7 linked regions of the Solanum lycopersicum genome follow. The protein of the gene in region 2 binds, or shares a complex with, the protein of the main gene of each other region. Links are inferred from orthologs where the notes say so. Each region holds a gene or a part of one and is shown on either strand. Other genes may lie near its edges.

What was found.
Region 1: mediator of RNA polymerase II transcription subunit 16 (region 2) and mediator of RNA polymerase II transcription subunit 21 share a complex: the UniProt entries of both Arabidopsis thaliana proteins name them as parts of the mediator complex. The link is inferred for Solanum lycopersicum from reciprocal best matches to the Arabidopsis thaliana genes SFR6 and MED21.
Region 3: mediator of RNA polymerase II transcription subunit 16 (region 2) and mediator of RNA polymerase II transcription subunit 8 share a complex: the UniProt entries of both Arabidopsis thaliana proteins name them as parts of the mediator complex. The link is inferred for Solanum lycopersicum from reciprocal best matches to the Arabidopsis thaliana genes SFR6 and MED8.
Region 4: mediator of RNA polymerase II transcription subunit 16 (region 2) and mediator of RNA polymerase II transcription subunit 14 share a complex: the UniProt entries of both Arabidopsis thaliana proteins name them as parts of the mediator complex. The link is inferred for Solanum lycopersicum from reciprocal best matches to the Arabidopsis thaliana genes SFR6 and SWP.
Region 5: mediator of RNA polymerase II transcription subunit 16 (region 2) and mediator of RNA polymerase II transcription subunit 11 share a complex: the UniProt entries of both Arabidopsis thaliana proteins name them as parts of the mediator complex. The link is inferred for Solanum lycopersicum from reciprocal best matches to the Arabidopsis thaliana genes SFR6 and AT3G01435.
Region 6: mediator of RNA polymerase II transcription subunit 16 (region 2) and mediator of RNA polymerase II transcription subunit 17 share a complex: the UniProt entries of both Arabidopsis thaliana proteins name them as parts of the mediator complex. The link is inferred for Solanum lycopersicum from reciprocal best matches to the Arabidopsis thaliana genes SFR6 and AT5G20170.
Region 7: mediator of RNA polymerase II transcription subunit 16 (region 2) and mediator of RNA polymerase II transcription subunit 25 share a complex: the UniProt entries of both Arabidopsis thaliana proteins name them as parts of the mediator complex. The link is inferred for Solanum lycopersicum from reciprocal best matches to the Arabidopsis thaliana genes SFR6 and PFT1.

The regions. Positions count from the first base shown.
Region 1 is NC_090801.1:60,839,605-60,844,174, forward strand, and holds mediator of RNA polymerase II transcription subunit 21, read right to left. Parts: upstream 2,916-4,570; coding exon 2,706-2,915; intron 1,567-2,705; coding exon 1,489-1,566; intron 1,317-1,488; coding exon 1,265-1,316; intron 1,141-1,264; coding exon of another isoform or gene 1,133-1,140; exon of another isoform or gene 1,119-1,132; coding exon 1,042-1,118; 3' UTR 761-1,041; downstream 1-760. Other genes in the region: iron-sulfur cluster assembly SufBD family protein ABCI8, chloroplastic, read left to right, coding at 3,854-4,570. UniProt on the Arabidopsis thaliana protein: Component of the Mediator complex, a coactivator involved in the regulated transcription of nearly all RNA polymerase II-dependent genes.
Region 2 is NC_090801.1:59,381,889-59,386,656, forward strand, and holds the start of mediator of RNA polymerase II transcription subunit 16, read right to left. Parts: upstream 2,916-4,768; 5' UTR 2,585-2,915; coding exon 2,265-2,584; intron 1-2,264. UniProt on the Arabidopsis thaliana protein: Component of the Mediator complex, a coactivator involved in the regulated transcription of nearly all RNA polymerase II-dependent genes.
Region 3 is NC_090802.1:67,515,931-67,519,901, reverse strand, and holds part of mediator of RNA polymerase II transcription subunit 8, read right to left. Parts: intron 3,737-3,971; coding exon 3,612-3,736; intron 3,538-3,611; coding exon 3,357-3,537; intron 2,942-3,356; coding exon 2,834-2,941; intron 2,752-2,833; coding exon 2,681-2,751; intron 1,515-2,680; coding exon 1,224-1,514; intron 1-1,223. UniProt on the Arabidopsis thaliana protein: Component of the Mediator complex, a coactivator involved in the regulated transcription of nearly all RNA polymerase II-dependent genes.
Region 4 is NC_090800.1:84,077,661-84,082,423, forward strand, and holds the start of mediator of RNA polymerase II transcription subunit 14, read right to left. Parts: upstream 3,178-4,763; 5' UTR 2,854-3,177; coding exon 2,644-2,853; intron 443-2,643; coding exon 1-442. UniProt on the Arabidopsis thaliana protein: Component of the Mediator complex, a coactivator involved in the regulated transcription of nearly all RNA polymerase II-dependent genes.
Region 5 is NC_090803.1:5,625,740-5,629,733, forward strand, and holds the start of mediator of RNA polymerase II transcription subunit 11, read right to left. Parts: upstream 2,801-3,994; 5' UTR 2,485-2,800; exon of another isoform or gene 2,480-2,484; intron 1,192-2,479; 5' UTR 1,177-1,191; coding exon 1,123-1,176; intron 145-1,122; coding exon 28-144; intron 1-27. UniProt on the Arabidopsis thaliana protein: Component of the Mediator complex, a coactivator involved in the regulated transcription of nearly all RNA polymerase II-dependent genes.
Region 6 is NC_090811.1:1,513,327-1,517,987, reverse strand, and holds the start of mediator of RNA polymerase II transcription subunit 17, read right to left. Parts: upstream 2,899-4,661; 5' UTR 2,790-2,898; coding exon 2,701-2,789; intron 2,602-2,700; coding exon 2,382-2,601; intron 934-2,381; coding exon 820-933; intron 653-819; coding exon 567-652; intron 445-566; coding exon 60-444; intron 1-59. UniProt on the Arabidopsis thaliana protein: Component of the Mediator complex, a coactivator involved in the regulated transcription of nearly all RNA polymerase II-dependent genes.
Region 7 is NC_090811.1:29,982,247-29,986,980, forward strand, and holds the start of mediator of RNA polymerase II transcription subunit 25, read right to left. Parts: upstream 3,144-4,734; 5' UTR 2,986-3,143; coding exon 2,891-2,985; intron 1-2,890. UniProt on the Arabidopsis thaliana protein: Component of the Mediator complex, a coactivator involved in the regulated transcription of nearly all RNA polymerase II-dependent genes.

The sequences.
Region 1 (4,570 bases), about 1.5 Mb from region 2:
GTTTTTTTATTTTTGCGTTGCCCTTTTATTACTTAGATATGAGATCTAGATATACTTGAAGGTCTTTGGAGAAGTGTAGGCATGTAACTGTATACTTGTGCTTTTTGGCTATCCTGGCAATGCTGAACACCCTATTTTGCTCGTTGCTCATTTTGGTTCACCTTTCAATAGCAATTCTTACTAATGTTTCCTCCAAAATAATTGCAATCGTCTGAATGATTTCCGTGATAGTTTTATTTTGATAAAAATGTCTTATGTATTGTAGTCTTCAATACGTCTCCTGCGTTAGTTTCTTCATTCATGTATTGATGCCAATTGTCATATGACGTGGTTGAGTCCTTCTACCAGTCATAGTTGGACCCACGTTCTATCTAAATTTTAGCATTCAACAAACCCCGATGGCTGTAAATTCTTCTCTTCGTTGCTGTCACGCTTACATATTAGGCAGACAAGGTTTTCTATATATTTTGTGTGGTTGCTACTTGTTTTCGGCCACGCCTCAGTTCCAGCACGACAAGAAAATATTCTGGCGATATGCAATCTAAACTCCCAAAGTACCCAGACACAGCCCAAAATGTGTCTACGAATTAAAATCATCAACTCGGTAGGGTAGTTGTGCATGCCAGCTGCCATGTTTTGGGATCACATGTTTACGAAGTCAGTCTGATAATTGCATAACTTTTGACAAGTGCTGGAGCAGAGAAACTAGCCAACTTCTAAATTGAACACGTGGCACAGAAGACACTAATATTTAAGGATGTGGAGACAAAAAAACTGCTGATTTTTGCTATTTAGGCACATTATCCCTACCTCTTTTCATTCTATAAACACAGCTCTAAACCAGATACAATAGTATACTGAATTCTTTTCTTCAGCAGTGGCCAAGAACTTAAAAAAAAAATAATGTCAGAGCATGCCTAATTATAATTAGTTAATAAATGTACCCATAACAGACATGGACACAATCAATTTGTTGTTCCTCCAGGGTATATTCCAGCAAGAATGGGCTCCTCAAGCAAACTGAAATATCTACTACCTTATTCATTCTGGCTTCTTCAAGTTCAGGCAGTTATCTGTTGCTTGGTTAAACAACTCCTGGACCTGCTTTAGCTCCTTCTCTAAATCACCAAAATCAGCAAACTGAGTCTCAGAATAAACAAAAAATTAATAATACAGACAGGAAAACGGAAATTTGGACCTTAGCCTAATCAGAACAGCTTCCACTATCTTTCAGAAAGAAAGCAAGGGAAAAACAAACTCTTACCTGCAGCTTCCAGTTGTTTTTGAAGTTCTTGGCCAACTGCATCGTTCTCAGCCTACATCACATACATACACAACCGAGTAAGACTACTAAGCCCAAAATAGACAGACTAATCTTTATTTATCCTTCTTTATTTTTTTAGTTTAAATACTGTTAAGCTATAACACATCAGAATTAGAGGATGTCAAAAAGTGAATTCCACCAATTATTCACAAAGAAGCATATACCTGGAGTTCTGCAATTCTTTTCAATTGGGCTTCTTCACTCCCATCCGATAAAGGAAGAGCAGCAACCAACACATCGAACTGCTCAAAGAAGGATAAGAAAAAGAGAAGATAGATTTAATACAATGACATTGTAGCAAAGCATACACTTTAGGATCACAATGAAAATTTGCAATTGGTCTGAATTAGAGCCACACAATCCTCAAGGCTACTCTCAAGTGTCGGCTGTGCTGCTTAAGTTTGATAGGATGCTAGATTAGACAACCTCTGATTGTGAGGCCAAGAAGAAAACAAGGGAAACATAACTGTAAACTTGAACACCTTAGAACTAATCACAGGGTTGTCCATATACATTTCATAGAAGACAGCTAAAGGGCGATAAACTAGAACTCAGTTTTCCGGTTTTGACACCAGGTTTACCCGGTGAGTCTTGGCCTAGATGTCATGGTTACCAAACCTGAGAGGCTGACATCAAGTTCTCTAGTAAAAATCCCTAGAGGCATGCAATCCTGTCCAGCTAGTAGTTGGAATTTGTCCGCCATTATGTGATTCAGTCAAGTTTTATTGAAGTAGTTGGTGATGCTAATAGCATTATTGTATTTCTCGTTAAACTAAGGACAAAAGACTAGGTATTTGAACTCAACCACACTGGTCTCAGGAATCAGGACTAAGGTCTTTGAACTCAACCACGCAGGTCTCAAGTCTGAACAAACAAAGACTTAATATCATCTGGTATAGAACTGCATGTACGCATTAGATATGATGAGCCAAGATACAACTTAGTGTTATCTTGTATAGAACTGCACAAACACATCATATATCTAAAGATTTGACGTTTCCAAAAGTAAACATACTAGTCAAAAGAAGACAAAAGAAACATTATTTTGTCCAAAAATGATTTTTTGAAGGAATGGTAAGTGCATTTGTAATACAGCACCAAGAAGGTGCAATCAACAACATTTACAGGGAACACAAAGATATACCTTCCTATTCTTAAAGGGATTCTACAAGTTCAATCACTTATTCAGGCTCATTTACAAAAAAAATGTCTACACAAAAAAGGAAACTAAACTAAATAGTTTATCTTGATCTTCCGAAAAAAGAGAAAATTCCCTATTCTCGAAGTACACGCAGATTACTTTTATACCCTGGTCTGTGGCTTGTTCATATTCGTTGATGAATAAGCAGAAAAAGTGAAGGTATGGAGTATGGAGTTTCACCTGCTTGGCAGCCTTAACAAAAGCAGCACTCATTTGCTTTGGTTGTTCTGCAACATTAGCTGAGTCTTCTGTGGGATTAGCAGGTGGAGGTTCTGGATAATTAGGTGATAGACGCACAGGAGGGGCGTCCCTCTGAAGAGTACCAAAGGTGTTGAAAGCAAGAGCTGCAATTGTATTTACTTGTTCCTGTAACTGTGATATGATATCCATCTTCCAAATCCTTCCCTTTATTGCTAACAAAAATGGTGAATTTTGAGAAAAGATCGAACAAAGGAATAGAAAACAGAGGAGAAGAACTTACCTGAAAACCCTAGAATTGGAGGTCCGGGTAGAGCCGAAGTAGATTCGATAATCTGTTACAATTGTTTTAAAATTAGACCTAAAATTAACCATTATTTCAATTAAATTTTACGAAAAATGCTCAAAAATATTTCTGAATTATCCGAATTAGCTCACATATATCTTTAAATTAAATTCTAGCCCTTCTATTAAAGTATTGAGTTATTTTTACCCTTAATTTTAACAAAGGTGTGTTAAGTGTCACCTGAACGCCACGTGGACACCATATGGATGCCACATGAGCACCAAAAAACATCATCTCCATGTAGACTCATAAATCTTAATTATTAATTTTTTTCTCATTTTCATTCATTTTACTTCTCTAAAACATAATACGATTTCCCTTTTTTTTTCTTAGACGATTTTCTCTCTTATACGATTTTCCCCAGGATTTTACAAATTTCTCTTATGAACGCCATTGAATTTCTGAGTAAATTTCGTCACTTTCTGAGTTTCACCGTTCTTATAGATAATGCACAAACACCAGTCCTAATTTGTAAAGTAACATGCACAAACACCAGTCATAACTCTTCACATTTACTTGTTTTTATTTTAAACCTTTCAACATAAAGTCTGACTTTATCATTATCAAGTGAGCGCTTAAATGACATAAAATGCAACAAAAATAATTTAGCTTTACTATTTTTTTTAATTGTTTTTTTTTTGTTGTTGTAATTTAGGCTTTGAAAAGATGCACGTGGTCAGCATACGACATCTTAGATCAGACACCACAAAAAATTAAAAAAGAAACAAATAAAATTTATGTTTGCCTTCTCATCCTGCTTCTTTCTATCTTCTAAGCATCAACTATGGCTTCTCTTCTCACCAACGGAATCTCACACTTCTGTCCTCAATCCATCGCTGAGCAGCCTAAACTCCCAAAAGGGTATAACTTTTTGCCTAATTCACCCGGCCCCAAAATCTCAAATCCAGGTAATTTCAAGATTAAAGCTGCTGATGCGAAGGCCACTGTTGAAGTTCCAGGTAAAGAATCATCTTTATCAATCTCAAATGAAGGCGACCCACTTCAGAAATTCTTGAAAAGAGACTATAAATGGGGTTTTAATGAAAATATTGAATCTTTTGCGCTGCCAAAAGGGCTTTCGGAGGATACTATTAGGTTAATTTCATCAAGAAAGAATGAGCCTGAATGGATGCTTGAGTATAGATTGAAATCGTATGAGAAATTTGTTAAAATGAAAGAGCCGAAATGGTCTGATAATCAGTACCCAGAAATTGATTTTCAGAATATTTGTTATTATTCAGAACCTAAAAAGAAACCAACTTTAGATAGTCTTGATGAGGCTGACCCTGAGCTTGTTAGGTATTTTGATAAATTGGGTATTCCTTTGAATGAAAGAAATCGTTTAGCAAATGTTGCAGTTGATGCTGTTCTTGATAGTGTTTCTATTGCTACAACTCATAGGAAGACCTTAGAGAAGTCTGGTGTGATTTTTTGTTCGATTTCTGAGGCTATTAGGGAATATCCAGATTTAGTCAGGAAGTATTTGTTTAGAGTTGTGCCC
Region 2 (4,768 bases):
GCCTGCCAATGTATCTAATAGCATTGATGCTCTTAGAAGAAATTTCTTATGGCAAGGCAATGAAGATAAGAAGAAGTTTCATCTTTCTTTTTTTTTTTTGAGAATGATACTTTTTTTCCTGTTAAATGGAAAGACCTGATGGTGAGTAAAAACACAGGAGGCCTAGGCATAAGAAATCTAAGGAATCAAAACCAGAGACTAATGATGAAGTGGTTGTGGAAGTTTGCAAATGAAGATAACATGCTCTGGAAAGAGGTCACCAAAATATGGCATGGAAAATATGTGGATGACAAATGATAAGTACTTCATATAAATGCACTGTATGGAGGAAAATCAGAAATCTATGGCCAGTGCTATATCACAGAACCAAGGTAGAAGTGGGAGATGGGTCAAAGACACCCTTCTGGGAGGATAAGTGGAATGGATCTGTCCCTATGAAACAGTTGCATCCTGAATTGTTTACTTTATGCCAACATCAATAGGCCACTGTGGCTACAATGTGGACTGGACAAAGATGGGATTTGTTCTTAAGGAGGAACCTTCAGGATTGGGAGATTGACTAAGTGGCAGAATTTCAAGATTCAGTAAGGTCTTTCAGCAACCTCACTGATAAGAAGGACTTATTAGTTTGGCAAAATGATACCAAAGGTCAATTCTCAGTAAATTCAGTGTATAAGAAACTCAACAAGAATGCTGGACAGGAGATGGAATGGCCATGGAAGATCATCTGGAAACCAAAAGTACCCTACAGAGTAAACTACTTCATGTGGCTATTAACAAAAGAAGCAGTTTTGACTCATGAAAATCTAAAGACAAGAGGCTATCAGTTGGCTTCTAGATGTACTTTATGTGGAGAACATGCTGGGACAATTAACCATCTTTTTTTGCATTGTACATGGCCATAACAATTATGGAGAATGAATGTGCATCTGTCTAAAGGGAATCAGATGGGTGAAACCAGGGAGCATTAAAGGAGTCCTGAGCAGCTGGAATAGAGATGGCAATGCTTCTGACAAGGAGAAGAGATGGAAACTTGTCCCGGCATGTATTTGGTGGACAATCTGGAAAGAGAGAAACAGCAGGAGTTTTGAAAATTGGCAGAATAGCTTACAGAAGATCAAGATGGACTGCTCAGCTCTTTTCTATTTTTGATGTAAACAAGATATATTAACTAGGACGGAAGATATCTTTGATGTGCTAGATTGTTTATAAGCAGCAGTTTTCGACTAAGACTGTTTTATTCTGTAAGTTGTAAAACTTTTGAAGGGGAACTACACTTTTGTTTTAGTATACCTGTGGATATATAGACTAGAGTTACCAGTTTCAGAAAAAAAATCTTCACCACTTTCTACAATGTAGCAAGATAAATAGAGAAACTTCTGTCTTATTCTCTAAAGTTCCCTTCACTGGATGGATTAAAACTAACTCCTCTATTAAGATTTAGGAACAAATGAGGAAGTACTTCAGTCTCTAACATAGTAAACCCCTCTGGTCTCTTGTTAAAGGTACTTAACCTATCGTCTTATGTAACTTATTAGAAAAAAGAAGATGATTACCCCATTGAGGGCATAAGACGCAATGGCAAAGCAAATTTGAAATTTCTCAGATTAGCATGCAACTACACTTACCAGGATGATTCTCTCTCTATCTAGAAAGTGAAATAACTCTAGGAACAAAAATACTGAAACTAAAAAAAACATTGAACTTTCCCTCTGTCGTTCTGTAAGACCATAATGAGACTGCAGTTTCTGTTTTTCTTCTCATATCTTCCATATTCCACTGAAACTTCATTAAAAATAACATATTTTTGACTAATTCATTTTGCATAGGTGAACTACTGCATGTATGAACAAATTATAGGGCCCAAATCCTTATAATATATCTAGAAAGTTAAACTTTAGTGATGATTATATTGGGAGCAGAATGTTCTAATAATAGTATTGGTCGGCAAATGATCGGACTAACAAGTCAACACTTCGATCAGCAACTAGCTATCACTTGAGGCAGTGAGCTCAACGTACAGCAACTTTAGAACTCAATTCAGTGACTTCCACCGCCTCAACAGTTAAACTGCGAAGTTCCAACAAGTTCTCCACTTCCAGCATAACTAAGTAAACCTCTAACAGACTAATCTCACTTTTTCTGCTTTTTTTAAATTCGATCGTATCCTTACTTTAGTTATAAGGAAAAAAAATATTGATATCATCTTCTAAGTCATGTAGCCAGAATTGAGATGTAGCATAAACAAAATTTTAAAAAATCACCTGAAATTGCGGCAAAGTTCAGGAACACTCATTTTATGAAGCAAATTTGACCTAGGTTGTTTGAGCCTAATACAAAAGACGACAGCAGGATTGACAGTATCCTCATCCATGGGATCATCGTCAACAGAAGAGACCTCCTTCTCCGTCACCATAGCCACAATTGCAGCAGGATGATCGTCGTCGTCGTCTTCAATAATGATATCCGGTTTCTCGTGAACCTTATTAGTAGAAGGTTCTAGAGAATTGGTAATCACAGAAGAAGACTCTTCCTCCTTCTCCACTTCAGTATCTTTAGCAACAGGTGGTTGTTGATTGTTCATTTGAATAAACCAAAAAGGCCCAAAAACCCTAATATATAATATAATTATATATGTATACGTATATAGTGAGAGAAAGGCAGAGAGAGGGGTTAGAGAGAGAAGTGGTTGGCCGAAAAAAAGTCTTTGCCAGTTGAAGGCGACAGGAATCACTATGGTGACTGTGTGGGGTTAGGGTTTGAGTGGGGGAGGAGGAATGTGAACGGAGATTCCAGCTAGTGGGGATTTATTCGGCTTTTCATTTTACTATTAAAACTACTACACTGTTATAAGTGTGGAAGCCAAAATCACTGATAACGTTTTTCAATTGGGGCTGAGTGGGGGAGCTTGTGATAAGACGGGGTAACCATTAAATTAACAAACAATACTACTATGATAAAAAGGTTGTTTTATCTTTACTTCAATAAATTATGTTAAATTGAGTAAAAATATTCTCTATTCATTAATTTAGGCAAAAAAAAATATTAGATTAATTACGGAAATCTCACATTTTAATTTACTTATTATTATTATTACTTATCAATTTTATAAATTTTTTATTTTCGCTCATTAAATTAATGTATTCTGCACATTACATTATATCATGTATAAAATGTACTTCGGGCATTATACTAGAGTATCTCGCGCATCAGATTAGTTTATCTCGCACATCAAACTAATGTATCTTACGCATTAGATTAATATATCAGTGGTTATATTATTGTATCCGTTTTGAGAGATTTTTGTAATTATAAACTTTTAAGAAATAGATTATAATTTTGCCTTAATTTTCTGTAATTTGCCCAAAGATATTCATATAGTCAAAACTTTAGTCAAAAAATTACCATATGGCTACTTTTGACTCAAAAATGTTATTTTCTTATTAAACATTCTTTTTTTAAACTTTTCCTTAAAAAAATTGTGTAAACAATATAGAGTAAAATTTTAGGTTTAGCAAACATAAAAATTATATTTGTATGTTATAGTTATAATTATATATGGAACATCAGATTTGTATATATCGTTGACAGGAGTGTCAGATTTTTGTATAAATCGTTGGTAGGCCCTCGTTTTTATAAAGGGCAACTTTCACCTATAGCAAACATAAAATTCATATTTGTTTGCTATAGCAAAATTCGCATTATTGCGTTTTATATCAAACATATATATGTATGATTCGTTATATATACAATTGAAGCAAATTGTATACAACGAGAAAGAGATAAATTATATACAATTTGAATTGTATAAAACGAGAAAGCGAGAACGACAAAATTCAATTGTATACAACGAGAAAGAGATAAATCATATACAATTTGAATTGTATAAAACGAGAAAGTGAGAAAGGCGAAAAAGAGACTTGTGCAGAGAAAATATAATTTAATCGAGTTGTATAAAACGAGAAAGAGAAAAATTATATATAATTTGAATTTGTATACAATGAGAAAGGCAAGGGATACTTGGACAGAAAAATACTTGTATTGTATAATTATAAGTGTATTGGACGAAGATGTATGTATTTGCATGCATTTATACAATCTTCTCTCACTTTATACAAGTAGAAACACAATTTATACAATTCTATTGTATAAAGCGAGTGAGGCGAGCGACAGGAATATGCGAGCGAGAGAGGAGAGAGGTGAGAGAGAATATGAGAGAGATAGAGACTGACAAACAGTTTGTTATGGAACACAAATAAATTAAAGGATAGCTACTATATTTATTTTATATTATTAGTTTGTCATTTTATACAATTATCTCTTTTATAAAAGCATAGCGATTGTATATGTATTTCGGTTAGATAATTATATATATTTAATTATTATATTTATATATCAATAATTGTGTTTGTATATCTGCATAAAATTTGAATTTGTATACAATTAAATCAAAATAAGACAATTGTATATCAAATCTTTCTCTTGCTTTATATAACACAAATTATACATCGTAATTTGTATAATTTAATTTTTATAAAGTGAAAAATAAAGAAAGACAAAGAGAGAGTCAATAGAAGAAGATCGGTAATAACTTTAAGTGAATAGGAGGAAAGGTGCTATTTTGTCAATTCAATTGTTGGTCTTCTTACATATCAAGCCCAACTTGGTCCATGGGAAAATCAAACTGGAAGGCCCAATTGTATATTTGACCCACTAATTTTGTGAACCAGGTTGAGATATCTTGAAGTAACAAAATTGGCATTGTCAA
Region 3 (3,971 bases), on a different chromosome or scaffold from region 2:
TGAATTGTCTGAATGCTAAATAAGGAGAGATGAACCATAACAAGTTTAAAGAGATCAGTGCAAGCAGTGCACTTTTTGCTCTTCAATTTTACGGGGAAATGGTCCCAATTTTCTTTTTTAATTGGTGAAATGGACCTAATTCTCCTTGGTAGATGAAGAAATGAGATAAAATTCCTACCTATTGGAGAAGTTGGGAATCCTGTAGGTTGATCAGGAGCTTGGCTGTAAAACTAGTGGCCTGTCCTCACATACTAGGATTTACCATTAAGCATATCAAAACAGTGGATCCAATTTATGAATCTATTTTCTTTGTTATTTTATGTCAGTCTTTGACTGTAAAAAGAACACAAAATAGGCTAAGCATTCGCTTCGGATAAAAGAAACCCAGAATCCTCTTTAGATGAATGATCAAAAGTATTTTGAATGGAAGACATCACAAAGATGAAAAAGGATGGGAAAATCCTTCTTAATTGTAAGGGGAAAAATTGAAGAGAGAAATATCATTAGGTATCATTAAAACTGAACCAAACCAAATAACAACAACCAAACTGATTGATATGTATTTGGTTTTGGTTTCAACCAATACTGACCCAAACCGAACCATGAACATCCCTAATTGGAGGTCAAGGGTTGATAAAGATTGCACTGGAGCATGGTTCAGAGGAGTACACGTGGAAAGGAAATGGGGATGACAAGTTACCAGTCCTTATCAAAGAGCAGCTAGGATGGGGATACGGGATACCACACAACTAGGAGGACTTCTCCCAATTTGTTAAAAGTCAACATGGGATGTGGCAGAGGCCTGAGAGAACTCTTTTCTGGACCTTTTAAATGAATCATAATGACTCAAGAGTTGAATGAGGTAAACAATTTTAGCCTTCAACTTTTGTAAATTTTGCGAGATGAGAGGCGTTCGCAGTTGGATGGTGATTCATCAGGCCCTCTCACCGCTAAATCTATTTACGGGTTGTCATAAAGGACTCAGTGGATTCCCTAATGGAACTAGTTGGATATTAAAGGCCAAAAAAAGTGGCTTTTCTGTGAAGGAACTGCTAGGGATTCAATTCTCATAGCTGACAATTGGAGGAAACAAAAGAAGATATATGCCTGTTCTTTATGAGTAAAAGGGTAATGGTAAGGTAGCCCATACTAAGCACGCTATACGTCGTGCAAATTCACAAAAAGATACCTTAAACCAATCAAGATTTTTGTACAAACTGTACCTGCCCCAGTCCAGGCATTGAGGCTTGCCTAAGTTGCTGTTGGGCAAGAATTTGCTGCTGATGCTGAGGTAACTGCAGCATTTTCTGCCTCTGTTGGAGCTGATGCTGCTGCAACTGCTGCTGCTGCTGTTGCTGCTGCTGTTGCTGATGGGTCTGTTGCTGAGGAGATGGTGTATTCATCATGTTAGCACTAGACCTAGGTGAGTTGACATGTTGCAGAGGTGATGCTGTTGTAGTATCAAAGGAAGTGGGCCCAGAAGGAGAAACTGCAGCCCGAAGTGCTCCAGAAGCCTACTCCAAGAGCAATACATACATATTAGAACTGACGAACTTAAAAGACAATAAGGACTCAATATATTAAAATAACTTGGGGAACATTGATTTAATGTAATGTTTAGTTAAGGAGAAAGAATGGAAAAAGGATATGATCAGTATACTTCTGGCAGATTAATCATTTATTGTTTCCATATTACTGATTAGCGCCATGAATAGAAGGAGATTTGCATTTCCTCTCCGAACTCTTACATAAGTATTTAATAGCAAACTCTACTTGATCTCCCATCCTCCAATAAATTCAAATAAATGAGGGAAATAATTCCTACAGCTCTTTCACCCCCAGAAAAAAAAAAAACAGGCGTTACAACTTGCACGAGAAGTTGATGTGTAACCAAGGATGTAAGTATACAAAGAACATGCAGTAGTTGATATTAATTACAATCAGGGTAGTGTATTTGGTGTGTAACATAGAACATGTATATGATTATTAAATACTATAGTGGACCTAGTAAACTCCTTCAGTAACTAATTGATCTAAACCCATTCTAAGATGTGCAGTTTTTTGGTATCCATTTGGTGCTATGGAACATGTGAAAATAATCAGGTTGGCCAACCTAAAAAGAGGTCTGTAAACCTAGAGTGAACTGGGAATAAAAAGGCATGACAATTCCCTCCCCGAGAACAGTAAAAGAGATAGTAGAACCATACAGAAGACGACAAAAAGGTAGCCCAATTCACTAGGCTCCCTCTATACCTGGGACTAGAGAAGGTGCAGACCTTACTTTGCATTTTTGCGAGAGACCTACACATGGCTAAACCTGTGACCCCCTGGTAACACGGCATACCGCTTATCTTTGTTAAGGCTCCTTTTTTCGAAACAGAAAGAAACCATAGCATAATTTTTTAAATGATAAAGATAGAATAGCATAATTGTGTGATAACTACTTGTTCCTTATTCATAACTCCTTTAGTAACAAAATTATGGGTGGTGGAAGTAAAATTCATGTGTTCCAAATTGATATTCACTCATTAACAAGATAACCACTTGTCCCTTTGTTCATAGCTCCTTTGAATAACAACATTACAGGACGCCGGAGGGTGGAAGTAAAATCATGTTTCAAATTGATCTTCATCCCTTAAGCAAAAGGCATATTTACAAGGCAAATTATAAGAAATCTGACCTGTAACAAAGCTCCCTGACTATTAACATTGCTCGATGGAAAGGGAGGAGTATTCTTCAGATAAGTCCCTACTTGAACACAGCATCAATTTCTCTAGTCAGATGTTCATGAAATAAAGTGGAAACAGTAGGACAACAATAGATGATAGGCTACCGGATGAATCAGCGAAAGACTGGGGGCCATCAGACACTGTAAGCACATCTACCAAATGACCAGGAAGTGCAGAAGTAATATGCCTTTGGTCTCCAGGTACACGTAATCCTGCATAAGTACCATTTTCATGAAATCTGTGAGCATACATGTTAAAACAAATCATAAACGAGTGTACCGCCAAACACCACCAAAGGGATGCTACACACACTAGACACATGTCAGGTTTATTGTACATATATATTGTGATGCATAGCAGAAGCACATTGAAGCATCTGACTTGCAATTGCACCTTCTTCGTCATCAGAAATATGTGCAATTTTCTGATTAACAAGGCACTCAGTGGATCTGATAGTTTGCAAGAATCCTTCTCTCTTTCTTTTAGTTTAGATTAAACATCAACATAGGGACCATTGGGGTCCAAGTATCTTTAGCGTCAATGTCTTGTGCAAGCAAAACATTTAACGAACTCTGAGAAGGAGAAAAGATGTTTCTGGGAAAAAACTCAGAACATAAATATTATCACCTTCACCATGATTTACTGCAGTGCGAAGTAAATTTTCTTGTTCCTGAATTTTTGCTGCTTGTGCCTTGTCAATAGTTGGAAGCAGTGTTGGCCCCTGTCTGGTTCCAAAGTAGGCTTTGCGCGTATCAGCTATGACTTTCTCAGCACTTTCACATGCTGCTCCAATCATATCAATTCTAACCTGTGTGTTATAGGTATATTAGAAAGCCACAAGGATACAGAAACAGAAGAAATAGCATCTGCAGAGCTTTCCACCTTCAACTTCTCAATTTGGGATGCTACCGATAGGTGTTGCATGCTGTGTAATAATTGCTCCCTTTTGGCATTATCTTCGACTTCCATCTCTGGCAGCAGCTTTGATGACAGCATAACAGGTAGAACTGCATCGAAAAGTATTTGTAAGTAACAACTAACAGAAAGCTAAGCTGCGCGGACTCTTCACTTTTGATGCCGCACCCGTGTCAAATTCTTCAAAAATACAATACTTTTGGAAAATCCGATACACACCCACTGAGAGTCTGAGCAACATAGACAGAAAGCATCTTTCGGATTTTCTGTCAACACAAATATACTCCACAGCCCAAAAAATACATGCTTATTTCTTTCATTAACCTT
Region 4 (4,763 bases), on a different chromosome or scaffold from region 2:
TTCTCTCACCAACAAGCAGCTCCATATGTAATATCCTCCACATTGACAAGTGTCCTCTGTAACCGAGGGTAACTAGAACTTTAAATTCTCCTTCCACACGAAGCAGAACAGTACCATCAGAAACTTTGACTTCAGTAATGTCCTTAGGAAGCGAAACTTCAAGGAGTTTCGACCTAACCAGTGTGTCTAATTTCTTTAATGCTGGTTTTTGCTGGTCATCATTTAATGTGCTCTGCAAGCCTACATCTTCTATACATTTTGGCAAACGATCATAACTTCCGGTAAGAAGAACTTCAACAGCTGAAGGAACATCATAGATGGGAGCACGGGCTTGTTGTAGTCCTTCATGCATAAAAAACAACGAGTCGGCAGCTTGGGTGAAACATGTATCATGACTAGATAAAGTGGATGCAAGCTGCTGACTGTATTGTATCAACGGGACCTGCAAACCAGATAATTGTGTTGGTACTTTAAATACGGAGTTTGAACTGCAGTTTCTACGAGATCAATGATAAAGAATATAGGGCCAACCGTTGATTCTAAGGGTCCAGGAAGATTTGACAACCATATTTCTACTCACCTAGATACTGAATATAATACAAGTGTATCTTTCCTTCCAGAAAAAGACAGATGAAGAAATGAAGACATGAAAGGGAGAAGAAAGACATGAAGACAAACCTTGTACATAGCATTACCAACATATACCTCGAAAGAGTTTATTAAATCAAAGATTAAAGGTTCAAATGATGCTACAGAAAGTTGTTTGAAGCAAGATCTACAGGAAACTCATAGCTCTTTTGGTGTGACAGCAGTTCCATTGTTCCCACCCCACCCTATTTCTTTTACACATACTCTTTCTCCCAAGATTAGAAATGGGATAAGTCCTACTGTTCCTGGTTTGTCCTTCCTTTCCATGTTTTTGGCGTAATTGTTAGGTGACAAAGATCCAGTAGTTTTAGAGCGTGAAGAGTGATTGTGATTCTTTGAATTAGGTGGAGTGTGTGCTGTGTAAAATTATGTGCATATGTCCAGAAATATTGAGGTCTTTTAGTGGTGTTCATTGGCATCAATGGAGAAGAGGAGTTCACAGTGGTGGTTTTTTTTTGTCAAAACGTGACCAAAAATGGTCATCAATTTATTATAATTAAAAACATAGTGCAAAACAAGTTGGTCCAGAACAAAACAAAATAAAATAAAATAAAATAAAATAAACCCAAATTGTTAATTGCCCAAAGAGCAAAATTGTTCAGCTTTTTGTATATTGGAAACCTCTTCATCTTCTCCCTTCTTCAACGAACTGATCGCCAGATTGCTCATCTTCTCTACCATCTCATCAGAAAATGACAGTCTTCACGGTGGTTTAAGTGGTGGACAGAGGCGTTGCTGAAAAAAAAAGGTGATCGAAAGTTGTGAATGATGAAAATTTCGAGGAGAATGGAGGTCTTTAATTTTTTTGGGAAGTGGTTACCGATAAAGATGGAAAGTTATGGTGGTATATCAGATGTAAGAAATGGAAAGAGGTGGTCAAGGGATAGAGACGGTGAGGGAGAAATGGAGTGAATAAGGAAAAAAATTGAAAACTTCAAAATAAAGTTAAAAATAAATGACATGTCATTAAAAATCTGAAGGGTCAAAGGGGTTTAGAAGATTGTGTTTCATTGAGTCTAAAAGTTCAGTCGACAAAGTCGTGAATAGAAGGGCTTTGTTGGAGGTCTCAAGTTCGAAACACCTTGCATGTGAAAGCAAGGGGGTTTGCCTTCTGAGTCGCCTGGTGCGGGTTACCTCTCCTATGTGGTTTGCGAGCTATTGCATAGGAGTGGGGTTTTACCCTATGTGCACCCAAAAGGCAGCGGCTCCAGGTTTCCCTTGTCATAAAAAAAAAGGCGAGAATAGAAGGGTCTAATCGACAATCCGATTCAAATACAAGGGTCTCTTGGATCATTCCGCCTTTCATCAAATAAGCTGTTGGTACAACTTGAACAGAGCATCGTACAATCTTAAAACCTTTGAAGTTGTCCTCAACTTTTGTTTTCTTTTGGCAATTGTCCTCGACATTCACTATAACTAGAACTTCCACCCTAACTATCTGATTTTAAGTTTTAAATTACTCCTCGTGGTCCATCTTTTCCCAATTCCTAAAACAACATCCACCCTACTCATTTCACGGCTACCTTTCTAATCTTAATCAAGATCCATTTTTCTCCATTCCAACTCACAAATTTCACAAAAACAAATACATGACCAATATACATTCTGTCACTACTCTCTCAATGCATCAATAAAGAAAGAGAAAATCCTCTCCTTTTCCTCTTTCCAATTCACAAATCCTGAAACAAAAGAAACCCTAGAAGTCGAAAACTACTCTTCGCACCCCTCAACAAAGAAGAAAGAAGGCACACTTCTTATAACCCTTAAAGAACTCAAACATAGAATCCCCATCTGCCTAAGCCTGGAAAGAAAATTTTCCCCGTACCTATGCCGGTGGGAGGTAACGGGTACCTTTGGATTAATAAAGGGGGTCACAAATTGGGAAAAACACATCATTATATCTAAAAAATTAAAAAAAGATAGTGTTCAATCTTGAATGCATCAACATACATAATGAGAGAGGGAGTGAATAGATTAAAAAAAAAAGAAAACAACCTGCTGGCACCATTTGGATAGGACATTGAGACGAAGCATACGCTGCTGAGTCTTAACTACATATTTAAGAATCCCAATTTTCTTCTCAGAATCAGATAAGTTAGACGACTTGCACTTCTCCACCAATTCCTTCAACGTAACATACGACTCCTCAGCTGCTCTGCTTACCAGTGCCGAGAAATCCACCGTCTGCTGCCCTAATTCCGCCATCTCCGCAAAACCCTCCGATTAAATTACTCCGACGATCCCGAATTCCTACTAATACAATGCCATTTAATGAAAATTGACCGCCCAAACAATCAATTACTATTAGGGTTTGTAAAAATTGTGGAATTTGAAACAAAATATGAATCTCCGACCTGTAGAGAGAGTGAATGAAGCGAGTGTTGTTCTATTTTTTTTTTCCCTTTTTGATAGATCGGATGTCTGAAGGTAACGCGTAACGGCGGAAGGGAGAGGGTGTGCAAAATTGGAATATGGTACTACTAGTCGGAGAGAAGTCAAAACTAATATAAAACCTCTAAAGTTCTATTTGACCAAGTTTATAAAAATTCATCTCCTTAAATCATGTTGATTTAGAAAAAAATATAATATTTAGAAAGTTTCCATATAAAAATATTTATTAAGTGTGCGAAAAAATATTTTTATTGCGTTTTTTGATATACCTTTCAAAGTATGTGAAGCCTAAATATTGTTTGAGCTTATCTGTTGAGCGGTAAGAACTTATCTATTATTTTATTTTTTCTTTAAAACGGTGTTTAACAATCATTCATTTATTATTCATCTGTGACCTGAATTATTCTTCATGAAACTTAAATTTCTTGATTTACGCGTCTAATAAATCATTGCGAATTTACTTCTGGTATACTTGTTTAAAAAATTATCACGTAATAGTGAAATCTAATTATTATAGTCATAGTATTCGCCCACTTGTTTGTCCAGGTCCAGAGATGAACATGTCCTCGTAGTCCCTTATTACTCCGCCCCAGTTTCAGAATTCTCTTTCAAGAAATTACACATTTCTTGATTTTCTTAAAGTGATGATGGCTTCGTCTATTTGATAATTATATGCACCGTTACATTATTTATTCGTCAAAAAGTTTTAACTATTATTTTCAAATATTGTTTCACTACAAATTTTCAAGCTTTAAACTGGTTATTTTCACATTAATGAAGAAGATCAACATCTCTGAATATATGGAGTTTCATTCTCATGTTTGGAGGCATACCTTAACCTCAAAAACTATCACGTAATTAAAATTAAATAATGCATTGAGGTATAATGATGAAGGGAGATTCCGTCAATTTCATTATGAGATATATGACACTTATGCAATCAAACGCTTTAGCATAAATTCAAATTAGTTTCGTTTATAGGATCACTCTTTTCATTCTCTCATTTTTTATAGTGTGTTTTAATAGCTTGATGTCTGTATCTTAAATATCACATTTATTTTATACAACTAGATCATCATAGTCCATATATATTATTTGGACATTTTCAATAACCTAAAATTTAGGTTTGTGTATTGGACGGATCAGATGGATAGTTATGCTTAATTATTTGGCTTGTCGGATATTGATTTTTAAATAGACTGATCCACTAGCCAACTAATAAGGTAATGGTTCATTTAATGTCGGATTGGTAATTAAGGAATGGTGCATTGGCTCAATTGTTTCATGCTTTCTTTTTCACTTTCACCCACTAATATATCAATCTTCGATCAAACAAAATATTTTTTAGCTCTACTTAAGCAGATAAATGATAATTCTTTAATTATACATAATGAGAAATATTTGAAAAACTAAATTTTGAGGGTGCATTCACATAGGTATTTATTAATAACGATACTTACGGTAAAAATATAACTATAATAATTCTTAGTAAAGTAATAATTTATCCAATAAGAAAAATGGAGTAATCTACCCGGTATCGACAAACTGTTAAATTTTAATACGTTCACCAACCATTAATGTGATAATCCAATACTAATAAGTCAGTTTCGTGGTTGACTTATTAGTTTTGAATCTATTTTGAACAACCCTCTTTAATTTGATTTTTGAAAGAAAGGGTGAAACTTGAATAAGCAAAGCGAGCCTAGGGTACTCGCTCTCAATGA
Region 5 (3,994 bases), on a different chromosome or scaffold from region 2:
GTGCAAAGAAGTAAAGTATGTCCTTACCTTGATTAGTTGCATGAACTCACTACAATGGTTGTTAATAAGCTCCTTCCTGGGGCCGCTCGGATTTGCCATTTCATCCATTACACCTCCTGCTAGCTCCAGAACTCTGACTATCCTCTGCAAGCATCAGAGGAAGATACAGCAACAGAAGGTATGAGAGTAATGTTTCAGTTACAATTTTTTCTATCAAGAAAAGTGATTACTGACTCCGCATTGAAAGTTATGATCGTGATTTACTCATCAAATTACGATTAGTTGCCTTTGCACTTGACATGCTATATCATCTCCACGTTTTTAATCTGAAGAAACCAATGACTAGGAAACAACAGAGATGCTGTTTCCGTTAGACCAGAGAAAACTCGTGTCAGTAGATATTCAGGGCATATGACAGGACGATCTCGAATACGATTTGATTTCCAACTGTTGAAGATCAGCCTGGAGTTTGTGGAAGATACTCAATGAGCCAGACAGGAAGAAAGCAACCAACAGAAGCAGAAGTTTGAAAAGCCCTTTCAGATCCTATTCTCGGTCCACAGCGTCTTTGATTTATTCATCATTGTCGTCATCTCAACACTATTCCCATCTTCATTCTCTGACTTCGAATTATATTATTTTGGCTGATTTGAGGATGGGTTGAGTTGGGTTGGGTCAGCCCATTTTGACAGTTAGGTGGGTGACATGAAATTCTTAGTCATGGTTATCTAGCCAAGCGGCTCTTGTTCTCATTCATTTCATTTGTCCGGTTGTCCCAGAAATTGAAGGATCCGGAACTCCAGAAGGCTTAGGAGAGCTCAATGGTGGAGTCCCTTACCGAGGCATAACACCATCCATATATCTTCAAGCTTGTCTATGTGTTTCACCCAATCAACGAAATATGGATTTCACCTAAATTCAAAAAGTACTCTCCTCGCTCTCTTTCTTTCTTGAAACATTTTGGTATACAGGATAGGGGAACAAGTAACAAGGACTCGGGCAAGGAAGGAATAATATTGTAGTATCAATTCTGAAATCAGAACATTAAGTATTTTGATGACAAAGAATAGCAGCTACTGAAATCAACCCATCTTAAGTCAATAATCCTGTAGAAACATTTACCTTCTCAACATTTTGCAGCCGCTGCAATGAAGTATTCTGGCTTTGCGAATCCATGTATTCTGAGGGAAGCTGTCAGGACAGGAGAAAAAGATTACTGAATTGCAATGCCGTAGAGCGATCTAGATGTGGAGAAATAAACAGAATCTATAAAACCTGATTATGTGCAGTTTTCAGAGATTTTGGTTCTGAGATCTTTGCAGTCAAATAATTAAACAATCAGAAACCTAAATCCTCTGTAATCAATCCGAAAACAGAAGAAAAACTTACATCTAATAAGTATTATGTCCATTAAACTTACCACCCTACTACACTCTTTCAAGGTACGGGTTTGGCCGAAATCAACAACTTTTCTCTGAACTCTATATTTGTCTTAAGAAATCTATTTAATATGTATAAATTATTAATTTATAAGAGATTATTTTATCCTGCGTGTAGTTGGCAAGATGCAGGATAACAATCTCATGCGATATGTTCTAAAATGTTGAGATTGGCTATTCCATATAGAAGTTGGATAGCTGATCCCACGAGAGAAATCCTTGTCTATTCCATCCCCCATACCGAACGATCAAGGACTAGAACACTGAACCCGTAAACTTCAAATCCTAGCTCCGCCTTTACCCCCAAGACCTGCTGATTATCAAACGAGCAATCCTAACATTTCACCGTCTTCCTCTAGCATTTCTGCAAAGGGGCTATTTCCTTCGACACTCAAACCCATTGCCAGACTTGATTAATCACCCCTTACTGTTCAAATGGAATCATTTCGTTTTTTGCAATTTTCTAATTGTTCAATAGTCTTATAAATTTGAATTCAATTTTTCAAATTCTATCTCGGAGTAGCCATTCACTCAACTCCGAATGAGCTCTTTCGAATCGTTCAATAGCCCTGAACCTGAGATCTGCAGTTTATTAAACAAGCAACCAGTGATAGTCTTATGTTTCTTCGCTGTTCCAAATTTGTCCTACACTCTCAAAACCTCACTAATTTCATATTCCACTTACTTCATTAACTCTTTGTCATCTTCTCTCTTCTCCATTTTTTGGAGGAATTCATCACTCATATCTCTGACTGCAGCGGCTCAACCCTAAAGCCAGCCACTAAAGCAAGCAGTGGATTTAGGACCCAAAAAAATAAGGTCCTCAAATTACAAATCCCTGAAGCTCCGAAAGAACCAAAAAGCCCCAAATTCAGCTCAAATGCACAACGATATTTCATATCATGCATGAGTGAAACAAAGCTCAGATACAAATACAAATACATATAAGACGCACAGGCACGAAATATTTTTCTTATTATTAAAAAAGGAGCCAGCGAGATGTCTGATATCGGCATCTACAAGTGAGAAGTCAATCATACCTTACCTTCAACGGCGGCTATGAGTGGCAGAAGAACGGCAGTCACCGGTGGTCGGAGATAGTCTCAGCTCCGAGTTGTTGCCTGTAATTTTTATTTTTTATTTTTATCATACAAGCATGTAATTGAATAAACATATTGCTTAAATTAACGCATATTTTTTTTAAAAAAAAACATTTTTTCAATTTTTTATTTGTTTAATATGTTATAAAGGTTTTAAAAAAGATATAGCAAACAAAAAATTCAACATAGTGTGAAATTAGGTCTTAGGCGTAACTCACACCCCAAAAGCTAGCTCAAAAGGAAACTCACACCTCAAAAGCTAGCTCAAAGGGTGGAGGATTGCTCAAGCCTTATAAGGAGTTCACTCATCTCATTAATCACCGATGTGGGACTTTTTGTCATTCTTTAACACATAGAAACTATATAATTCTCTATACATATACAGTTGAAGCAAATTGTATAAAATGAAGTGTATAAAACAAAAAATAGAAAGACACTTGGGCAGAGAACTGTATAAAAACGAAGCGTATAAAGCAAATTGCATTATTATAAGTGTATAGAACGATTATATAAAATTTGAATTTGTATAAAATGAGAAAGAGAAAGACAAAAAAGACTTGACAAGGAATATACAATTGAATAGAATTGTATAAAACGAGAAAGAGAGAAATTAGATACAATTTGAGAATTGTATAAAACGAGAAAGAGAGAAAGACAAAAGAAATTGGGCAGGGTGGTATTTTTATTGTATAATTATAATTGTATAGGACGAAAATATATGTACTTGCATGTGTATATACAATTTTCTCATGCTTTATACAAACAGAAACGCAATTTATACATTTCGCTTTTGTTTGTATAAGTGAGAAAGGCGAGGGTGGCGAGCGAGATTTGGGAGAGTGGCGAGCGAGACCTGGAAGAGGGGAGAGAGAGGAACAAAAATATATGTATTTATACAATTTTCTCTGCTTTATACAATTAGAAACAATTTTTATACACTTGTGTTTGTGTAAAAAGTGAGGAAGCGAGTGAGAGATTGGAGGAGAGTGGCGAACGAGATTTTTGGGATAGAGGCGCCTGACAATTTTTTTGCAAACGTTTACTATGAAGCATAATTAAATCAAACCCTACCTACTCTATTTATTTTAGGTTATTAGTTTGCTATATACAATTTTCCCTTTAAAAATACATTTGCTGATTAAATGAATATATACTAATCTAAAAACTATTTATTTTCAAAAACGTTTTCTTAAAACAAGTTTTTTAAAAAAACTTTTTAGCAAATTCATTTGAAAAGTGTTTTTATAAGCAATATGTGTTTGACTAATTTTTTTAAAAAGTGTTTTTATAAGCAATTTGTGTTTGAATAATTTTTTTAAAAAGTGTTTTTGAAAGTCAAATTACGAAAAAAAACAAATATCGATGTGCTTTTAATATTAAAATTATTTTATAGAGAGAAACTATTTTAAACATTTAATACATAAAATTTAATTATATTTTTAATTTAATCACTTG
Region 6 (4,661 bases), on a different chromosome or scaffold from region 2:
ATGAATAAGAAAAACTCAAAGGGTACTAAAAAGAGAAAGGAGGGAACCTAGAAATATACCTGCTCATCAAAGATTGCTCGGTGAACTTCACGGAGTGTCGAATGAGTTTCTCTCACATGCTCATCATCACTTTTTTCTCTCTTAGTTTCTCCAGAAGAATCCTCAAAAGACACCTTTGGTCTCAGTCTGCTATGTTTTATAACACCAGCAGGTGTACTTGCACCGAGAAACTCAAATTGAAGAGTCCGGCAGGAATTTGGCGGTAAATTCACAGCCAGCATCCCAGCTGGGTCATGCTCAATACGCACCACAGATGCAGAAGATGGGCGAAATGCAACCGCTGGATCATATAATGAAGTGTCAAATAAATCAATGTAAAACCCTTCATTTCCAGAAGCAGCAGCAACCATCCGATGCCATTTAACCTTCCAATTTTGCTGCAATCTATCAGCTCATCAGGAAATAGCCAAAATTTTGAGGAAAGGCACAAAGACATGGTAGTCTAAATGACTGCACACATATCTTTCACAATGTACTAATACTGTTCGTAGCCACAAAGAACAAACCTGATAAGAGCACCATAAAATCTTGCTTCTCTAGCCACTTGTTGTTCCAAAGCTTTGGCAGATTGCTTAAAATATTTCCCCAAATGCTGCAAAAGAAAAGCCAAATTACGAAACACATACAGCTTTGCTAATGAAGTGCATAACTATACTTTGTCAACAAACCATTAGACTTAAAGATAATCAGTGGATTATTTGTTTAACTCAAACTTATACATCAACCATAACATCTTGCAGAAGGGATAAAGTAAAATACACGGAAGCATTGCAGCTTGGTTGCCATAGACACGGCAAGGTCTGACAGATGCTCGTTGGGCAATTGCTTTGGCCTGGTCATGCCAGCCACTGTCACTGCATCGTTTGCCTCCACCTGTATGCAGAACAGCAGAGTCAACAATGCAATACATAATCCACAGTTCCTGCTAATTTATTCATCTTATGCCTAAGAAAGGTGCTGTCTTAAATGCCAGGGAGAAGGGGCAAAAAGGGATTGAAGGAGCAAATGGACTGACGAATCTCATGCCACTTAAATAACTAATGCCGAAAGCTTAAGTCAAATTTTTTAATCCTTAGTTGTCTCTATCATACTGATAATGAGGAGTAAATGATATGCTAGGGACATTATCATATGCCTTTTCTAGGTCAATGAACACCATGTACAAGTCCCTCTCCTTCTCCCTATACTGCTCAAACAATCTCCTTTCATGGCTTCAAGCTGAATTGGTTCTGACACACCCCTCTTCATCCTCATCTCGACCACCCTTTCCCAGACTTCCATAGTGTGGCTTAGTAGCTTGATACTCGTGTAGCTATTGCAATTTAGAAAAGCCACGTTGATTCAATTCAAAAATCCAATATGTGGTGTATCCAACTTTACACCTTCCAAAAGGCCTTTCTTTATCACGCACACATGAAATTCCCTACTGGAACAACTTAGAGGTAGTTAATAATTCCTCTGTTGTAAATAAGATGTCTTGATCTTCTTTCTCTAACCACTTTTCAAGTACATTCACGATCATACATGTGTGTATTTTACAGTTCTCTATTGTATTTTCTGAATTAGATTCATACCTTACTAATATTGATAACTAAATAAAAATGTTCCAACCCACTCTCGTGATAAACCTCAACATTGGAATAAAACCAGTGTGCTCTATTCTCATAGATGAAATTTTATTAACATTTATCCATGATGCAAACACTACTCTGTATCATTCAGTCTAAAACTGCATGCCACAAAAACTCAATTGGCCAATAATGAGTACAGCATAAGACAAATGTATTCCACTTTCAAGCACATTATCAGGCTAAAACACAAAGTTTTCCTCTTATGGTAAGTGCATGGAACACAACCAGCTAGGCACAAGACATACTAAACATGTACCAACAAATAATCAATCAATCAACCGACACCTCAATCGCACACTAGTTGGCATTGACTAAACCTCCGTATTAAGGCGGAGCTAGAGTGTGGGAAGCAGGTTCAGCAGAACCTAGTAGTTTTAGCCCACTTTGTAGGTATCATATGCAATCCATTTACTAAGTACAAATTACTAATTTAGAAATCATCAACTCAAAAAGAATAAAATCCCAAACCTATAACCTGCTCACCATTCTTTTTTCTCTATTCAACTTCATTATTCTCAAAATCTCACAATTATCACACATTAGTCTTTGACCAGACACCACACAAACACCAGACCAGATGTAAATATCAGAACAATTAAAACTTAATTTGAACTATTTTCTATCAAAACTATATAGACATTAAGTTCAATCATTAAAATTATAAGCCAAAATTCTAATGTTAACACTTACAGTGTGAATGAGATCGATAATGACTTGAAGCTCTTGATGAGCCAATCGCAAATTCTCCACCAAACTCTGCCATTGCCATGGCTGACTGCTACTTGTCTCCTTTGAAGAAGTAGCACTACTGCTTTTCTTCTGCTTCTTACTTGGCTCTTCTCTTTCCACTGCCCACGCAAAATCAATTCTCCTAATCAAATTCACCGTTTTCTCATCGTATCCTATATCACTGCAACAATTACGAAAAATCTAAATGTAAATATCCAGCTCACAAACTGATTATGCATGAAATTCTACATTTTTATATAGAGAGAGAAAGAAAGTGTACGAAGGGAAGCGTTCAGCGCCTTGTTCTTCAATATACTCTAAACGCTTGATCGGAAGCTTGTCGACGGAAATCTCCAGATTGCCGTTCATTTTTCAGGGAGATTTTCCGGGAAGAAGTGTCGGAGAAATCCCGAATTGTGCCCTAAATCGGGGAAAATACCCGTCGAAAATAATTGGGGTTTGGTTCGCTTAATGTATGGGCCTATTAAGATCTGGGCTTAAATCATGGGCCTATTACGAACCACACTATGGCCCTTTCATGTTTGGTTTGGTGGGTCAAAAAAGGGAAACTTACGTAAATGTACTCGCTTGATCACTTTTAATTCATTTATAATACAAGTTTAATACATATTACACAGAACAATTTATTATTCACATGTAATACAAGTTTTAATGATAGATAATACACTTATAACACATTTTAATACACTTATAGTACAATGCGACAATTTTTTACCAAACAAACATAATATATTTCAAAAACAATTAGAATTCATATATATTGCATACATAATTCACTTTTAATACATATTACAGACTTATTACAGTATTGCTATAAATGGTAATAAACAAAAAATATAGCTAAAATCAGTAATTATATTTTAAAATGTATTAATTCATGTAATTTTTTCGTCAAAAAATGAGTTATTTGCGCTTTTATCGTATTTGTACTTGATTTCAATTTTTGTCTCTTATGATAAATCAATAACTTTTTTGGTGGGACGTAAGTTTAGATTTTTTTTAATCATAATATCTCATAAGTTATAGCACGTGTGCCCTTAAAGAACTTATGTACCGCTAGGTATAAGTTTGATTATTAAAGATCAACCTATTTAAAAGAAAAATCGTGCAATTATCAATTATTAAAGGTAAAATTTGAAGATCAACCTATCTGAAAAGAAAATCATGCAATTAAATATTCAAAAAGGTTCGATAGTTAGCAAATCGTCTTGTAGTTTCGATAGTAACTAGGTCTACAGAAAAGTTATGCGTCTTATATTCATGCATAACTTTCATACTGAAAATAACACAGTTAAAAATATTATTACATATATTAACTCAAATAAATATGATTGGTGAATAAATTTTACTTATATACATTACAATAAACATCTTAGTTTCATTATTTTCTTGGCGGCTAAGGATTATTTTTACAGTAACAGATCGGTCTAATCACGAGTTCATAGATTCAATAAAACTTAATGATTTGATTTTGAACATTGTAGTAGCATATGCAATTCTTTGACAATAGATTTATTTCAATTCTGTTTTTGACGATGCATTAATATACATGTAAAATTTAACTAAGAAAATCAATTAATTTCATATTTATATAATTTCATAATACAAAAGAACAATAAATTTTTTATTTAAAAAAATCTAAAAGTTTGAAGCAATTAAATTTAAATCATTGATATGTTTAATTAATTTCAACTATAAATATAATTAAATATACAATTTAAATCTCCTTCTCTCAACTTATAGTTTATAATAATTAAATTCTAAATTCGTCATCGATCGAAGTTGATACACCTCCTCAATGAATCAAAAAGACATTATTGCTAGTAATTCTTAATTATTTTAGTGCCCTTAGGCTACTAAAAGAAGTATAGTATAAAAACAAAATAACAAAATATACAAGTTTAATATTTTGATGATGTGTTTATAGTAGTGGTTGGTATTATGGCAATTTGCCAATTGCCACGTCACCTATTATATAAAAATTCCAGCTTGTCATGATTACGTGTCATTTTTATTTGATGAGTTTTATAAAAACCTTTTTTTAAATGAAATAAAAATTTAAACAATAATGATACTATAAAATACCTTTGTTGTGCGGAATTTGAGATAATACGAGAAAATATAAACGCGAAAAACAAGACAACAGATTTACGTGGTTCACCAATAAATTGGCTGCGTCCACGGGAAGAGAGGGAGCAGTTTTATTATGGAGAGGCAAAA
Region 7 (4,734 bases), on a different chromosome or scaffold from region 2:
CATATATACAATATATCAACCAACTATTAGGGGAACAGAAAGCACTTTAATTTTCTTTGTTTGGTGGCTGCAGGAGTGATGCTATCGACTAGGGCTTTAAAGTTCCATTTGGAGGTATCAGAGGGATCTAAACCAAAAACTCTTCCACGAAAAAAAATTGAAAATAAGGATATCAAAGAAAAATGATATGGATGGCCAGTTAAAAGCGTCCAATCATCATATAAAGTTATAAGACAATCTAATTTCATTGAAAGGATGGAACAACCATGAACAAGCTCCATAACAACATACTGGCAAATGAAAAAATTTATGCATGTGTTGATTCAAATACTAAACAAACATCAGAATTTAGAAGAACCACTCGGCGGAGGTTTCTGCATCAGCCATTCAAGCCAAACAAACTCCCCAACTGTTTCAGCTAAACGATCAGAAAGCCAAACAAAAATAAATAGCCATGGTAAAGCAAGATAAAAGGAAGAGCTGAGTAGGTGAAGGAGGATGAATTCTCAGTCATTTGCTCAACAAAACATGTGTTTTTGCTTGCATATGTGCGGCTCAGCATATTTGAGAAGAACACCGAACTGATATCAATTCAAAATTGGATGATCTCACCTTTCAGAAATACCAGTAAAAGAAAGAACTAAGAAGCATCTCAAATGAAGAAACCTAACTGAAAATCGATAGAAATCTATAATTAAGTAGACCAGCGATAGAAGGTCAGAAAGCAGGTCTAGTTATCCCTCTCAGTGGTCAACAAGAATTGTTAGCAAAAGAAACCTGCAAATGTACCTTTCCTTGACTACAATAATTTTTTCCCTTGAACATATTCTTCTCGTTAGCAACCTGAGCTTGCCCCTAGAGGGGAAACATATACATGACCTTGAGTGGCATATAATCAACCTTGTCATGGACAGGGTTATATATAGTAAATAACCAAAATGAGTTGCATCCACACCATATGGATGGAGGATTTTCCCTGGTAGTCTTGGATAGACTCTACTCCCATTTAAACATGGCAGTATATTAAAAACATCTTAATAAATCCTTCATTCGAATTGTGCCCAAATTTTCAAATATAGATATTGATTTAAGATTTCTCAATAGTTAATCTTAAGTTTTAAATTTAAAATCTGCATTTAATACTTCTCCAGAGTTTATATATCTTACGAAGCAGGGAATGTAGTGAGCCAGCAAGTCAACTAACAGTCTAAGAAATTGAGGGTCTCAATAAGTTTATTGGATTGAGAAAAATATGCCACAAAGATAACTGTAATGCATGCATAATAGTTGGCAAAGCAATAATATCTTAAACAGCATAATTCAATTAACATGGCTTCTTTTAGTTTCCTTCAACCAAAGAACGGAAGTAATATAATTGGAAGTCGTTTATCCAGTTTTACTCTAAAAAGCCTATTTCTAAACAACTATTATTGCTGAAATGCCTCTTCTGAAAGAGAATTAACCTTGTTTACTTATCCTTTCAAAAAAATAGTTCCATCCATGCAGAAGATTAAAATACACTGTTGATTCCAAGCTCCGCAGACTTAATCAACACGCGACTAAAAAGTTAAGAGAAAAAGGTGAACAACATTTTCCTATTAAATGATCATATTTCCCTTATTCATGCTTATCTGTATACCTAAGGGCTTGGTCTATTTAATTTTTGCTAGAATAAGAGGGGAATTTGTCGGTCTAAATAATTAACATCGGATTTGTGTTGCCTAAAGGTTTCACTTTGACTATCTTCTCCAACACTTTGACTTTGAGGGGGTAAAATGCATATATTTTGTTTTCTTGATGTCACATTTTGGTTGTTTAACATCCTCATTGTCTATTGCTGCAGTATTACCTCACTTTTAAAGAAAGCAGATGAGCAAGGCTATGGTGCCACTATAAATTCAATTAAACACAATAAATATAAATCAGCTAAGTAGTCAAAGTGGAGAGATAGAATAGAGTAACCAAATTTCTGAAAAACAAAGACCACAGCTGTTGAAACTTGAAAAGAAGAATCACTGATTGAGAGCCTTAAGAAATTAAAAATGAGAGAGATACGAGATGATGAAGGTTGCCAGAGAATTCATGGAGAAATAGTAATTGTGTGAACAAGAAATTGTAAGTAGGATTTACGTTACTAAGGCTGTTGCCTCGACTCTTAAAAATGTCACGAGGTGGATGTCGGATACTTCAAAAGTAGTAAATTTTTGGAGGATCCGACAAGGTTGCGGCAACATTTTTGGAGATTACGAGCAACTTAGGTTTAGGGTTTGAGAGAACCATGTAAACAAAAGATCTTATAGAAGGGAAGGGTGGGTAAAGTGCAAAGGTTGGAAATACCAATCATTGCAAACAACTACGAGTTCTTTAACCGCCTCCCTTCAGGAATTAGACTTTTTGTAAGCCATTCATTCTAATTTTCATTTTTCAAAGTTAAACTTCGGTATCAAGGCTTCAAAAGTTTCCCATATTAGTTCAGAGAAACTCAAATGCTATGTGCACATGATTATCACATAGAGAAATGGTATTCTCCTGAGCACAGCATTTTCTCAATGATTTACTAGCATCGGAATGCAGCATTTTCCGTAAAAGATATTTACAAAATTGAATAAATAAACAACTCAATGTATTCATAGTAGACGAGTTTGAATCTATGGTCTGCTGAGGTCAGGAGTTGGATTTCAATAGCTTCTGACCATAATTTTGATTAACTTCGGGTAAAGGTTGAGGTTTTAATCCCCATCCTAAACTAGGGAAAGATAATCGGCCGACATACAACAATTCATCCAAATAACGAAAATCAATGACTGAATTCAGGATGAAATACTAAAACAAAAATGGGAACAAGTAGAAAAAACAAAAACTGAAAATTTAAGTGTATGAAAATGAGTACCTGATAATTTTATCAAGGTAATCGGAAACGATGATTTTCCAGTAAGGGCCCAACACAGCGGTGCCTTCAACGGCGACGATCAGTTTGTCCACCATCGCTGCTTTAACCAACTGCTTGATTTTTCCTTTCCACGTCCAACCTTGTCTTGTTTATTCTTTTCTTATAAAATATTACTCTTTTAACAATAATAATTTTGTGCAGCAGCCAAAGACACAAAATGTTGACTTGTAAATACTATCCCTAGGGTTTGTTTGTTTTTTAATTTATTTCCCTAATATTTAACATTTATATATATATATATGGAAATAAATAAATTCTCAATAAGAATTAACACACCAAAAATAATTATGGTAAATATTGTATTATGGTAAGTTACTGTACTAAAAGCAACTTCCATTGCAAATCGTTGTGTGATCGTTTCTTCCAAAGTTATACAATTACTTCTAAATACGTATATTCGTAATTGGAAGTTGGGAGTTTACATTAAAAAAAAATAAGAATAAAAGAGGACTCTATGTGGTTTTTGTTCACAAATGAAGTTGTTTAAGTAGATGAAGAATTTCGGAAAATGTCAAGTCTCATATGATGACCTGCGGACTGGCAAGATGGTTTGTAGAATGGTTTGCGATTCAAAGAGAGGAACCGTAGGAGTGTCCTAGAAAAAATTTGAGGAACTTTGGGTTCTATGAGAGGGCCCTACGGATCGTAGGAAGGACTTTGTAAAAGTTGACCCAAATCTCAGTCTTCATTACTCGATCTATAGTTGATTAGTACGAACAATAGAAGTTTCTATAATCTGTAGGTGGCACCCATAGAGTCGATCCCACACTATTTAGTAGGGATATTCCAGTGTTTTCCCACCCTTTCTAAGCTTAAACCCCAACATTTTTACCTCTAATTAAGGGCTAAACATTGTTGATCAACTCTTTTACGTTCATTAGCACTCCCAAGACTTAGAGTAATCATCCATGATGAGAAAGGTAGGGTTTTCAAGCATCTTCTTCAAGTTCTTTGCGTTTCTTAAAAAAAAAATGGTCTTCCAAGTATATAAGGTTATTCATACTGATAGACTGAGTTCGTCCTCATGCCCTACATCTAAATTCAGTCAATAAGAGTCTAATCTAGGGTAATACCCTTAGTTTTGAGAATTCTTGATATGAATTATGTTATCAATTTCAAGTTCTAAATTCTTAATTTTGAGTTGCAATATATTATGCATCGAGATCTTCGAGTTGTTTTCCATGTTTATATTTCCACTTGAACTCTATGATGAGTGGTAGATTTTCACTCATTTGAGGTCTTTTTAGTTCAACAATTAGTGTCCTCGTTGCCTGTTTATGTCCTATCTTGATGATATTTTGAGGTTTTTAAGGTATGAAGGATAAAGGACAAGGCAATGATGAATACATGGAAATAGGGCCAAAAACATTGTAAGGAGTACAAATTTCCAACTGGTAGTCGGCTAATAAAAATGGTGGATCGCCTGATTGGTCTGACCTCACCCAAGTTGACTGTGTGCACAATTTTAAATATTCAAGGCAGGTTGGCAGACTAAACATGAAAAGGCAATTCGCCGAAGTTGAATGGGCGAAATAGAAGTCAATCACAAAAGGTGACATAATTTTGAGCAAAAATAAAAGTTGAAAGAGTATACAAGGGGGAATCGGTGATCCATTGAATGTGAAAAGTTGACTTGATCAAGTTCACCAATTGAGTTTCAAAGATATGAAGCTTGAAATAAAAGAAGAGTGAGCTAAAGAGCAAAACACAATCTGCCAAATGAGTTAAGTGAGCCCTACTAGCATCACCAAATGAGTCACATATGTAATCTTGGGGAAACTATA